2 linked regions of the Lepisosteus oculatus genome follow. The protein of the gene in region 1 interacts with the protein of each later gene in a biochemical or structural test. Links are inferred from orthologs where the notes say so. Each region holds a gene or a part of one and is shown in the gene's direction. Other genes may lie near its edges.

Evidence for each region. The genes of interacting proteins can lie anywhere in the genome.
Region 2: the proteins of arf1 (region 1) and arfgap1 form a complex in vitro, tested with the Homo sapiens proteins (2 studies listed by BioGRID, with this or other methods). The link is inferred for Lepisosteus oculatus from reciprocal best matches to the Homo sapiens genes ARF1 and ARFGAP1.

The regions. Positions count from the first base shown.
Region 1 is NC_090701.1:29,757,703-29,763,741, reverse strand, and holds the start of arf1 (ADP-ribosylation factor 1), read left to right. Parts: upstream 1-1,984; 5' UTR 1,985-2,070; exon of another isoform or gene 2,071-2,105; intron 2,106-5,731; 5' UTR 5,732-5,771; coding exon 5,772-5,919; intron 5,920-6,039. UniProt on the Homo sapiens protein: Small GTPase involved in protein trafficking between different compartments. Modulates vesicle budding and uncoating within the Golgi complex. In its GTP-bound form, triggers the recruitment of coatomer proteins to the Golgi membrane.
Region 2 is NC_090711.1:9,712,242-9,718,280, reverse strand, and holds the start of arfgap1 (ADP-ribosylation factor GTPase-activating protein 1), read left to right. Parts: upstream 1-1,730; 5' UTR 1,731-1,901; intron 1,902-3,724; 5' UTR 3,725-3,728; coding exon 3,729-3,788; intron 3,789-5,172; coding exon 5,173-5,282; intron 5,283-6,039. UniProt on the Homo sapiens protein: GTPase-activating protein (GAP) for the ADP ribosylation factor 1 (ARF1). Involved in membrane trafficking and /or vesicle transport.

The DNA.
Region 1 (6,039 bases):
GCCAGTATTTTATAATCCGATTTGCTTTAGTTTATTGGTTGAAAAAGGAAACAATCCAATATTAGAACACAAGGAGTCCATTCTGCCCATCTATATCAAGTCCAGATCTAGAGAAATTCGTAGTTAAATGATCGGCCAGTTGTTTCTTGAAAGAAGCCAGAGTATGGTCTTTAACAACATGGAGCTTCTTCCATAATCCCATCAGCCTTTGCCAGAAAGAGTCAGGTTAACGCCCATTCATTTAGACTGGGAGTAAAATACCTGATGACAGTAGAACACACCCTGGAGAAATGTAAGATGGAGTATGTTTTTAGTCAGACTGCAATCCCACTTTTACAAGGCAAAGCGTTTACCATACGCCCTGAGAAAAGTCCCCGATGCAGTAATGCTAAAAGCAGAGGTATCATTGCAGAACTGCAGATGTTATAAAATCACAGTGGGTTGCTGTATGGAAGCACACGCTTACCCACTTCCTAAAGTGAAGGAGCTGTTTGCCAAAGTAGTGGGTTTTCTCACAGACACTAACAACTGAAAGATGTTTCCAAGTGTCTGGGTGTAAGTACGTCAGGGTTTATACAATTGTAACTGTGCAATATAGCAATCCAATTGTTCCAGCCATTTTTCAGTCTGTAATATACTAGTTTCTGAAGCTACTGGAGCATGTGACTTGTTTCTTACACCTCATTGATTATATTTCCCTGAACCATGCCAGAGTGGTGCTTAGGCTGCAGGGTGATGAAAGTGTTTCTGCGTGTCCCTGCAAAAACTGTTCAACAACGGTTAACAAAATGATGTGATAGATGGTAAAAACTATCATCTTGAAATCATAGACCAATGAGATTTTAAGTTAAGTTTTGTCTATTCCCAATGGTTTCCAATTTAAATTTACATCGGAAATGTACAGAAGAAGACAGAAAAGAAATAGAAAGCCAGATGTAGGAGATTTCTATGGTCTGTCAGGTGACAAAGGATAGCAAGTTGAAAGGCATGGTTTCTTCACCTTAATCGTTTTTTCTATTTTTGCAATGTTTCAAAGAATAAGTACTGTAATTGTAGGTCAGCAGCATCATGTTGTCTGGCAAGAAACACATGTCTTCCTACTGATGAGATAGTATGTGATAGCTGACTATAAACCTTCAAACAGATCTTCTGAGTTATACTAATCAAAAACGGAACTCAATTAACTGGAATTGACTGAACAATGATTTGAACTACATGTAGAAAAGCTTCTGACACTATAGAATAAATAAAACTATATTCAAAAAATAAAAATAAAAAATAAAACTAGTTTGCCCCCTTTAAATTGTTGCAGATGTTTTGCGAGTCAAGGAGGGGGGGAGTCATTGTATTTGTATTTGGAATAGTATTTACAATACACAAACACATATAACAATGTATACTCAAGAAAAAGAATAGAACGTTTTTGGTCTTGCAAGAATTCAGTAGTTCATATATTATTGAATTAGAACTATAACAGTCATTCGGTTATTCTGGTAGCATTCGGGACATCGAAGAATTACTTAATAATAATAATTAATCATAATTGCTTACACTTATATAGCGCTTTTCTGGACACTCCACTCAAAGCACTTTACAGGTAATGGGGACGCCCCTCCACCACCAATGTGCAGCATCCACCTGGATGATGCGACGGCAGCCATAGTGCGCCAGAACGCTCACCACACATCAGCTATCATTATTTGATATTATTTGACTTGTGTTCCATTAATAAAAAATGAATTAATAGAACATACACGTTTCATAATGTACTATTAGCCTAGAAAACATTTACCAGTCAAAGCAATTTACCAAATGTGATCTTTGCTAAACTGACAGACACGATGCTAAACAAACTGGCATATCAGTCTTGGTCTGGACACCCTCCAACTCGTGCAGTAAGTCCTCCACGCCGCCGCGTTTTCCCGGTTTCCGAGAGCTGCTCTCGAGGGGGTGGTGTATTTGCTAAATTTTTCCTCTCCCCCCAAGAAGATCCGGTGCACTGACGTGGCCACAGGGAGCCGCCATCTTGTGGGAACGCCTTGAAGAGGAAGCGAGCGGTGCTGTGTGGTGGTAAGGTGGATGGTGAATTTACTTAATTTTTAATGGTATGACATGAAAAATCCCATATATTACATACGTTTGAGAGCACAAGCCAGCTGAAACTCGGGAGAAGTACGTGGGCGGGCAGTCGCAAGGTTTCAAATTTGACAGTAACACCGGGCCGGTTTTCAGGACGGACGCGATAAGGAGAAAACGGCCGATTGGCCTTTTCTTCTCAAGGTGTTTTACGGCTGTCTTGCTGTGATAATGCTCACAGTAACATGGTACGGAACAACAAAAATGCGTTTTTCCCAGGAAACAATCCCGGCTGGATTCAACTGTAAAACTGAAATCGGCCGAAGTTATTGCAACTGTTTTCCTTGTGAGACGATGTCCATGGTCATTAGGCCCGAGTCTCCTCGGCTGCCTCCTCTGTGTTTTCAGGAAAATGTAGTGTTTGTGACTGTAATAATGATCTTCAAATTGGATGCATGTAAAGTGCATTGGAGGGGGATTTAGCAGTTTAGTAATGGGTTTGGGGAAGCCGCGTAATTTGCAGCCGTTGTGTTAAGACGGTCCTGTTCCTTTGTGGGACTGCGGAACGTCAGCACGCGGAACCGGAACCTTGGTGAGCCCTTGGAGGCAGCGCGAGCGCTGGGCAGTGCAGGAGGCTAGCAAGCCCGACTCCTGGCCCAGCATCGCAAAACCATCGTTTCGTTCTCTACAGGCTACAGTCGTGGTTGTTCCTATCGCATTGCCTTCCCCTGGCTAAAATAAGCTTCAGGCAAGTCAAGATCTCAGCATAGAAACCTGGGCGCGGTTTTGAAATAACGTATTTTGCTTATCACTGATCATTTGCCAGTACTATTAAGTTACCGCCAGCGTTCTTCCATTTCCATTGAAGTCTTTTTTTTATTTTTCAGAGTCCCCCCCCCCACACACACACACAGAGTGGAACATTCCGTGATCACTTTCAAAGGCCTAGCAATTTGAGAGTGTGAACAATATGCTAGCTGTTTTATTTCCTTAATAGGATGACAATAGCAAATAAGCGTGTGAGAGGTTTAAAATGAAGTCTTTCGGCTTATCTAGCCTGTACATATGTTAGGAGTTCATTGGAGGATCTCATCCAGCTGTTTCTTAAAAGAAGCCAAGGCAGCAGCTGTAACAACATAGCTCGCTACCTTGTCCCACCACTATTTGTGTGAAGACGTGCCTCCTTTCCTTAGTGCACTTTCCCTAAGACATCTTCAGACCTGACACCACGTTAATTTCTTCCATGCCCTAACTTGTTGAGGTGTTTTTTCCTTGTGCAGCTATGTGGAGCTGTGTTGAAACATCTGAAATGACCTCACTGTTAGGTGGGTGGTTATTTCAGCTAACTGATTTTTACCATCATTGGGGAATGCAAATGCCCTCACCCACAGCTGTACCATCTTCACATGAAAGTATAGTCCTTAACATGGAGAGATGTTTAGCTGGAAATAATTGAATTAACATTTCAAGTTGTTTAGCCTACTTCATACAGTCCATGGGGTATATTCAACTTTTTTGCTATAAACCTTTTTTTGACGGTGTATTTTTGGGTAGCTTGTCAATGAATTAATTTAATAGCCTCCATTTTTTAAGCTTTTGTAGGATGCACAATCTTCTGATTGCTTGTAAAATGCTGTCAACTTGTCAGTTCAGAAAAATATATTGGGAAGAGGTGCAAGACCAGGACACCCCACAAGCTTCCGACATCTTGTTTTATCACTTGAATTCCATGCTATAAAAAAAATCTGACATTTTGGTCTACATCTACCTAAACGTAGCACTGGGCTGTATAGCCGGCCATGAAGCATTCTTCATAACAAACCAGTTATAACTCGCAGACATCTGTGTTGCATAACTGAAAAAGCAGAATTTCTGTGGGGTAACATCACTAAACAAGTTATCTAGTTTTTAGTTCTACTTATCTGATATTTATTTCTTAAACAAGACATAGGGGTATTTTACTCTTGTGCTAGAGCTGGAGTTGGCAATAAAAGGCCCCTTTTGGAATGTGAATTAAGGAAATGTAACAACTACAAGAAGACCTGTGAAAGAGGGGTGATTGAATTAATCCTGTGATCAGTGAGTTGTTCAGAATCCAACACTGTCTAGTATGTATGGATGTGCAGAATTTATTCATGCAGTAATAAGCACATCATTTGCCATCAACAGTTCCTGATAGTATATGTTATTTTTTTGTTTTTACAAGGTGGCAAAAAACCTAAAAGTGTGTTTTTCAGATGCTTTCATCCATACTGTGGAAATACTGGTGGTCTTGAAAAAGTAAACTCTTGATGGAACACAATACTTAATGCAGAAATATTTTTCCCTTTGTAGCTTGCATTCATTATCATTATCATTAATTAGTCAGATATAGTATGCCATAAGAAAATAACAGTCATGGTCTCAGTATACATACGTGTACAATGCTGCTTTTGTATACTATTACTTTTGATAAGTATACTAGTATAAATAGTATACGGGGCAGAGCGGTGGCTCTGTGGCTAAGGATCTGCGCCTGTGACTGGAAGGTTGCCGGTTCAAATCCCGTGGCCGGCAGAGGAATCCTACTCCGTTGGGCCCCTGAGCAAGGCCCTTAACCCTAACTGCTCCAGGGGCGCTCTGACCCCAAGCTTCTCTCCCTGTGTCTGTGTGTCTGTGTCTCCATGGAGAAAAGCTGGGGTATGCGAAAAGACAAATTCCTAATGCAAGAAATTGTATAGGGCTAATAAAGAAACATTATTATACATTACATTATTATAAATGTTTCATTATTAGGAATGCTTTGTTTTTGCCATTTTATTCCATAATTGTCTCTGAAGTTTCCTTAGATAGATAGATAAGCATTCTTGGTTTTAGGTCCAAGTGAAAACTCTTTAGACACATTTCCCTCAGTACAATTGTAACCAGGCTGGATTATGCTACTGTTGCTTCTGCTTACAGTGGAATTCTTGTGGAACATGGTTAGAACAACTTTGTCAGCTTCTGCTTTTGTGTGTATGTGAAAGACTTTCTTTTCAACCATAACTAGGTCTGTTCTATGATTTAATCCCCCCCCTCCTCCACGTGCTACATGTTACTGATGGCTAAGTCATTTGACAGTGGGTTAGCAATTGTTTTGTGCAAACAAAAGAGATTGGAAGGCCTAGTTTCAATGTATGCAGGAGGCAGTTGTGCCTCTTTTTCTAACCGTTTAATGTTCCAGAAGCTTTGTTGTAAAACCTAAAATTCTGCTTGTGGCATTTGGATGGTCAGAACATCTCAAGAGCCATAGACCATGTTTAAACCATGTTAAAGCTTATAGCCCTGTCTTTTCTAAACTATGTCTGATATGTAGTCAATATTGTCTTTAGCATAATCCTTTCCTATTGCAAGAAATTTTGTTCTTTACCGTTGGGATATTCTTATTTCTGAACTGCTGTGAATTTACCAATTCATCTAGATTTAACAAAATTTGTGAGGGATGGTAATTGCCTTGGAATTAAATGTCAATTTTGCCTTATGATACTTGTAAAAGTGATAGAATCAGTTGAGAATCAATTTGTATTTCCTTTGCTCTATATACCCTTTCAGAGTAGACATAAGAAATTGAAAGTTTTTGTGCTTCATTCATCTGTCAGTATGAGATTATTAATTATTCTCATCTCTTTGCTTTCAGATTTTTCCTTGGCCAGTGTTGGACACTTTGTGTTTCAGCCATGGGAAATGTATTTGCAAGTGTCTTCAAAGGCCTATTTGGCAAGAAAGAAATGCGAATTCTCATGGTAGGCCTAGATGCTGCTGGAAAGACAACCATTCTTTACAAACTTAAACTTGGTGAAATCGTGACTACTATTCCCACTATAGGTAAGTGGTTAATAATAGACTTTATTTGATATCTCGTCTTCCAAGGTGGCTTCTCAAAGTGCTTTACAGAATGACAACAACAATAAAAAATATACACAATATGTCCACAATGAGAAGAGA
Region 2 (6,039 bases), on another chromosome or scaffold:
TGTTGTCATCCTTGTTTCACACTAATGCTGAATAATTATCTCGCAAGGAAAAAAAAATACATATTGCAGATACAGACAATGAGCTAAGCAGATACTGAACATAGTGAGCAAGAAAACAGATTTCAAAAAGAAAGTTATTTTTGTCTGAGACAGTTTGCTTTGTTAAAGAGGTTGTGTCCTGGTCCTAGCTCCTGTCCTTCCAGTCTTTAAATGCGAATTTGTATCAATTACTGTACACCATTCGGTTAATTTATGACTCCTTAACTTCAAGGCCCAGTGTACAGTATGTTTTCTATACCAAGCAAAGTTCACACCAACAGTGATTACAATCATAAAATCATTTATTCAGCTGGCAGTGTGCAATCTCCTTCAGATACCTAAATTCCTGGGCTCAAACTGATCAAGTTTGCCCAAAGCTTCATTTGGCCTTCAGAGTCAACAACACACAGAGGAAGAGGCACTCAAGAATCTCAGAGACCATTGTTACATAGTTTTTCAGAGATGATTGCATGGAATGGAAATAATTTAATTTTTATTTGCTTACATTATCTGGAATACCTCTTGCGGAATTATTTAAAAAAACTTACTTATATCAGATTTGGAGGTGAGACATGATGTGCACTCCTGCTACCTGATGCTCCCATGATTGGCACCCCTAACTTTGTAACCAGTCTTCAAAGTGTGGGTTGCTGAGTGACACAGTTGCATTGTGAGATCTCACCCTGACCATGATTCGCCTTTAGAATCACCACCACTTAACCCAAGGTGGGTATGAGACAGCTATTAAAAATCAGGCAGTATAGTTCTCTGTATTTTGAATGTTAGCTGGCTCATTGCTCTGGGGAAATGACTTCACTGAGCTTTTTCCAAAGCTCAGAACAAAAAAAAGCCTTTAATTTAATGTTCAATTATGGCATCCATTGGTATTATGGTATCCACTGACTTCACAAGCCTGACAGTGTCCATGCCTGCTCAAGCTGATTTCCAGTTTTTGCTGTTTAGCAAATTTTATTTTTCAAAGCAGAACAAGAGATCAAAACAAAAAGGACAAATCCATGCAAAGAACTGAGCCTCAAATTAAAAAAAAATGGTATGGCTTACACAATGGAAAGTAATTACATATTTTTTTTTAGATAATAAAAGGTGTCTGAACAGGTGCTTTAGTAGAACAAAAAAAAAAACTAGCCTTTTTTCTTTATAATAGCAATTACTGAAAATGAATGCAAACTAGAGCAATCAGAAGGTATCTTAGTCTGCACCCAGCCCCCTAGGTCAGTTAGACTCCGACTCTGACTGTAGATTAGATCTTTCACATTTTCAGAACACAAGAATAAGAAAGTTGTAAATGCAGAAAAGCACAAAATTCAATATCGGACAGACACCAAATGGCGTATGATTTATTGGCTGTGGGGCTTTTACTTGGCAAATTATATTAATTTAACTTCATATTTTTAATTCTGCCATTTCTACTCTTGGTGAATCCTTGTAATATTTTGTGTTCTTTACGTTTTTTCTTTTACGCCTGTGCATCTGTTTCCAGCGACTGTCCTACTTCAAAGCCGAAAGACTCACGCATTTTTATTTTCTTGGTACATTGGCATGAATATTTTTTTCCCAAATTGTTTTGATGAGCTAAGGGCGACACCCAGTGCTTAGACCCTAGAAGACGGCATTACCTCGTGTCACAGAAAAGGGTTAATTTTGTACACGCTACCAATTTACCCGAAATGCATTGCACTTTGCAACGTAGGCAGGTAGGCACCGACAACATGGCTGTTGTCTGATACAACACTCTTAGGGACTTTTTAAAATATAATTAACAGAATTTACCAAGACAGCTTCTTTCCCAGCGAGGGCCTGCGTCGTATTTTTCACTTTGAACTTCGTACCCCAAGTTAAAGGTAAGAAACGTAATTTTTGCTGTAAAAGGAGCATGCTTTCTGTGGGTAATTGTTAGCTTTTGGTAGATACCGGTCTGTTCTCTAAATTAGCGCACATCTTGTGTGCTGAAGGCAGATCAAAGACAATGTACAGTTATAAATGAGTGTTCGTGCTTCATTTACGTGTAGCTTGTCCTCTCCTCTCCTGGAGCAAAATATTTTTTTTGTACTATAATGCTGCGTTTATTTTTTTTTATACCGGTCGCCAATACATACCACGAATTTCCCTATATGAAAATGACATAAAAATGTGATTTACAGGGGTTGCAGGGCTTTTAATAACATTAGTTCTTTATGTATTTTAAGCAGTAACTAATGCACTTGCATTTAATAAAGCCTGTTGGTCTATATTGGAAATGCGGTGTTGTGTAGAATGTTGTTGATTTCATATCCCGTCTATTGCTACTTCAGTGGTAAAAATGTTGCTAGATTTGAATTAAGCGATCCTGAGTTAAACAAATTCTACGATGAACAAAATCGGTTCAAGTCGCTTCCCTCAGTCTGTGGGCAGTAAAATTACATCCATACAAAACGGGTCTACAGGTGTAATCCACCTCTATCGGCGGCTCAGAGTCTTGACAAACCAAACGCTTTTCGACCATTGCTGTCGATTCCATCGCGAGTTGCGGTGGCCGGGATGTTTAATTTATAGGATCGGAGCCGAGGCGCATCTCCCGACAAGCCAAAAAGTCCGTGCGTCATCACCGGAAAGAAACCCGCAAGCACGCCTTAATTTGAGAAAAAAAAATGAAACTTGCTGATCTGTCACTGCTGCGCGAGTGTAATAAGAAGGGACGAGCATCCTTTATTAAACAAATACCAATTTATGTGGGCAATCCTGAAATGGACCTTTAGAGATTTGTTTCTGCTACTTTCGTGGTATTTGTATAAAATCGTTTTTTTTTTGTATTGCTCTGTTTCTGACCGTTTAAAGCTCTAAAAAAGTAAAGGCGACATGAAGGTATCACGTATTACCCATTGCTAGTATTCTTCAGACATACGAACAGGATGCCATGTCCTCAGTACTTTGTGTAACTGCCCATTGATTGGAGAACTCCTGCAAGTGCCTTTATGCTGTAGCAGTCTATTTTCATCTGGTAACTTCCTTCAACGGAGAAATCTCCTCAATACTTTATGCACTGCAATTTGTATCCATAATGAATCACAGTTGCCAACTTTCTTGGCTCTTTAATACTTGAGGGGTTAAAAAGACCTATTTATTTAAAAGGCCTCCTATTTATTATGCAGCATTTTGTAATGTACAGTTACATTGTGTGATGTCGTCTGTTGTAATGTATCATTGAGCCTATCATATGGAGTTTGTATCTTCACTCTGTGCTCACATAGGTTTCCCACAGGTGAAAGACCTACAGTATGTAGGCTAATTGGCTTCTGGGACAATTGCCCTGGGTGTGTCTGTGTGTCCTGCGATGGACTGACGTCCCCCTCCAGTGTGTATCCTGCCTTGTGCCTATTGCTTGCTAGTATAGGCTCCAGCTCCCCTGCAACCCTGAATTGGATGAAAAAATTAAAAGATGATCTAGTTTCCAGAATGAGTAACATTGTATATCATTGAGGAATCTGCTGACCTCCACTTTGTTTTAATGCCAGCTGGTCGTGTTTCCTGTATAGCCACTGCTCATGTTGTGACACCACCTTCATCTGCCCCCTCTGAGCTCCTGTTTCCAGTTGCTTGATGGTCTGCAGGCCAGTGGAGTTTGTTTTCGAAGATAACAGCATATTTTTTTAGAATATGATTGTTTATACATTTTTTTTCTCTTCAGGACAATGGCTAGTCCGAGGACAAGACGCGTTCTGAAGGAAGTCCGAACCCAAGATGAAAACAACGTGAGTTTCGCTTTATGGTCCTTGAAATTATTACAGTCCTAAAATCGCATGTTAAGAATAATATTCACTTTTTCCTGGTACACTAGTGCCCTTTTGCAATTAATGTAATCTGTGAGACGTATGTAAAGGTTTCACTGTGTTGAAGCACGCTAATGTGGTGCACCCAGTAAGAAGCATGCTACACACAGCTATGAAAGGCTTTCTGCTGAGCTCTGAGTGATGGGAGCTGATAGCCTAAGGAGATGCCTTGCTGGTGTACAGATCATAGGAGAGTGAGGATAGTTAAGTTGGGTTCTGTTTAACAAACGAGTACTAACAGTTTGATTCTTCATCTTAAACATTTTAACTTGCTTTAAATTGCTTTATTAATTGTATATTAACTTGCTTTAAATTACACAGTATTTGTAATACGATCAGCAATACCCGTGCACTTCTGCAGAACCTTTCATAAACCAAGTGCTTGTTCTGTCTTGGGTGGATACAAGACAGCTTGGCATTGTTTTGAAATGTGTTATGAAAAGCTCTCTGGAAAGCTGAGCTGAGAGAGTCACCTCCTTTCTCACGGGAGATCACAGGCATTTCTGAGTGCGTGGTACACCTTAGACCAGTGGTTCCTAATCCTGGTCCTGGTGACCCACACACCTGTTGGGTTTGGTTCCGGATGAGTTACACAATCAAGCCCTTCATTTACTTAATAATAAGATTAATCTGGACTGTTCATCCCCAGTTCTTAAACATGCTAAGCTTTATCTGTTGTATTTTGTAAGTGAAATAAAATCCCCAATTTGTGACTAAAAAGAAAATGCAAATAATCAAATGAAGCAACATTTTTAGATCTGTTAAGGCTTCAATTATCTAATTAAGCTGAGAATGGGATGAACACCTGCAAGTGTAAGGGTCAGTAGAGCCAGGACTGGTAATCACTGCTATAGAGACATAAAACAGCCTCCCATGTTACCATAAATGCTTAGTCAGAGCAAGCCCCTTGGAGCACTGCTTGTTAAGCACATCCCAGTTAAGAGATGCCAAGTGATTAGTGGCATCAGTAGCTATAAATGGAATTAACATCCTCAATTTACCACTATTACTTAATGGAGAGTCATGGAAGTTTATGGGTATCTGGGATGATTACTAATGAGACAGCAAAATGGATGTGGCAGAATTTGTAACATCCTTGCATTATATTGGGGGGCAAATAACATTCCCATGTCAACAGGCTGACTTGGTGTTTAGCTTAGATCCCCGAGAAGAAAGGTCGATTTTGCTCATAGATAGCAATGTAGTGTTTCAGAGAGGAGGTTAGGGAAATGCTGTTTTAATGGAGGCTGACCTAATACAGTGCCGGTATCGCAATCACTTCTCCTTTTGCTCCTGCTTTATCCAGACGTGCTTCGAGTGCGGGGCGTTTAACCCCCAGTGGGTGAGCGTGACGTACGGGATCTGGATCTGTCTCGAGTGCTCTGGCAAGCACAGGGGCCTGGGGGTCCACCTCAGGTGAGTCGACCTGCGAGCCGCCTTTTCAGGGGTGTCTCCTGGGCCCGGAGAATAGCAGGAACATTCCGAAGGAAGTTCAAGGGTTCGAGTGGGGAGTTGCGTCAGCGTGTGGGCCTTCTGTTTTTGTTACCTAGTGGTTTTGATATCATTAGTTTGTACCCTCCCAGTAATTAAAACGGAATTGCAACACCATTTTCATATTTCGAGGAGAGCAGGTATTAGCATTGATGAGTGCATTTCAAACCACAGTAAAAGAAAAATGTAACCTGCAAAACCTCTAATTTACATCACAAAATAGATTAAATATCCGGGTATGCGCAGCGCCATGTTCTGCGATTCAGAAGGAGGCAACAGAACTTGCAGTGACATGAAGCGGCGCTAAGACATTGTAAACAAGCTGGCTTGTGAATACATCTCTTTTAATCCAATAGAAATATTGCTCTCGACTTTGTGATGGTTTTGCCAACAAATACTACTTACTGGTTAACCCTGCATGAAATGTCTGCTGCACAGCCTGTACTTATTCACTTGTAATATCGCATTACAATAGTCATTAGAGTGACTAGTGAGCAGGAAGGGCTGCATCACGTCACAGTTCATGGGAAGTGAAATGTGAGTTTGTGACAACATGGCGACTTATAGAACTCTCGCAAAATTCGCGATTCTGTGCTTCATTTGAAATGTGTCATTTTTTGTCACGTCAATTAATTCATTTTGTTACTGAGATTTAATAACTGGTCTGAGAAATTGGGACTCC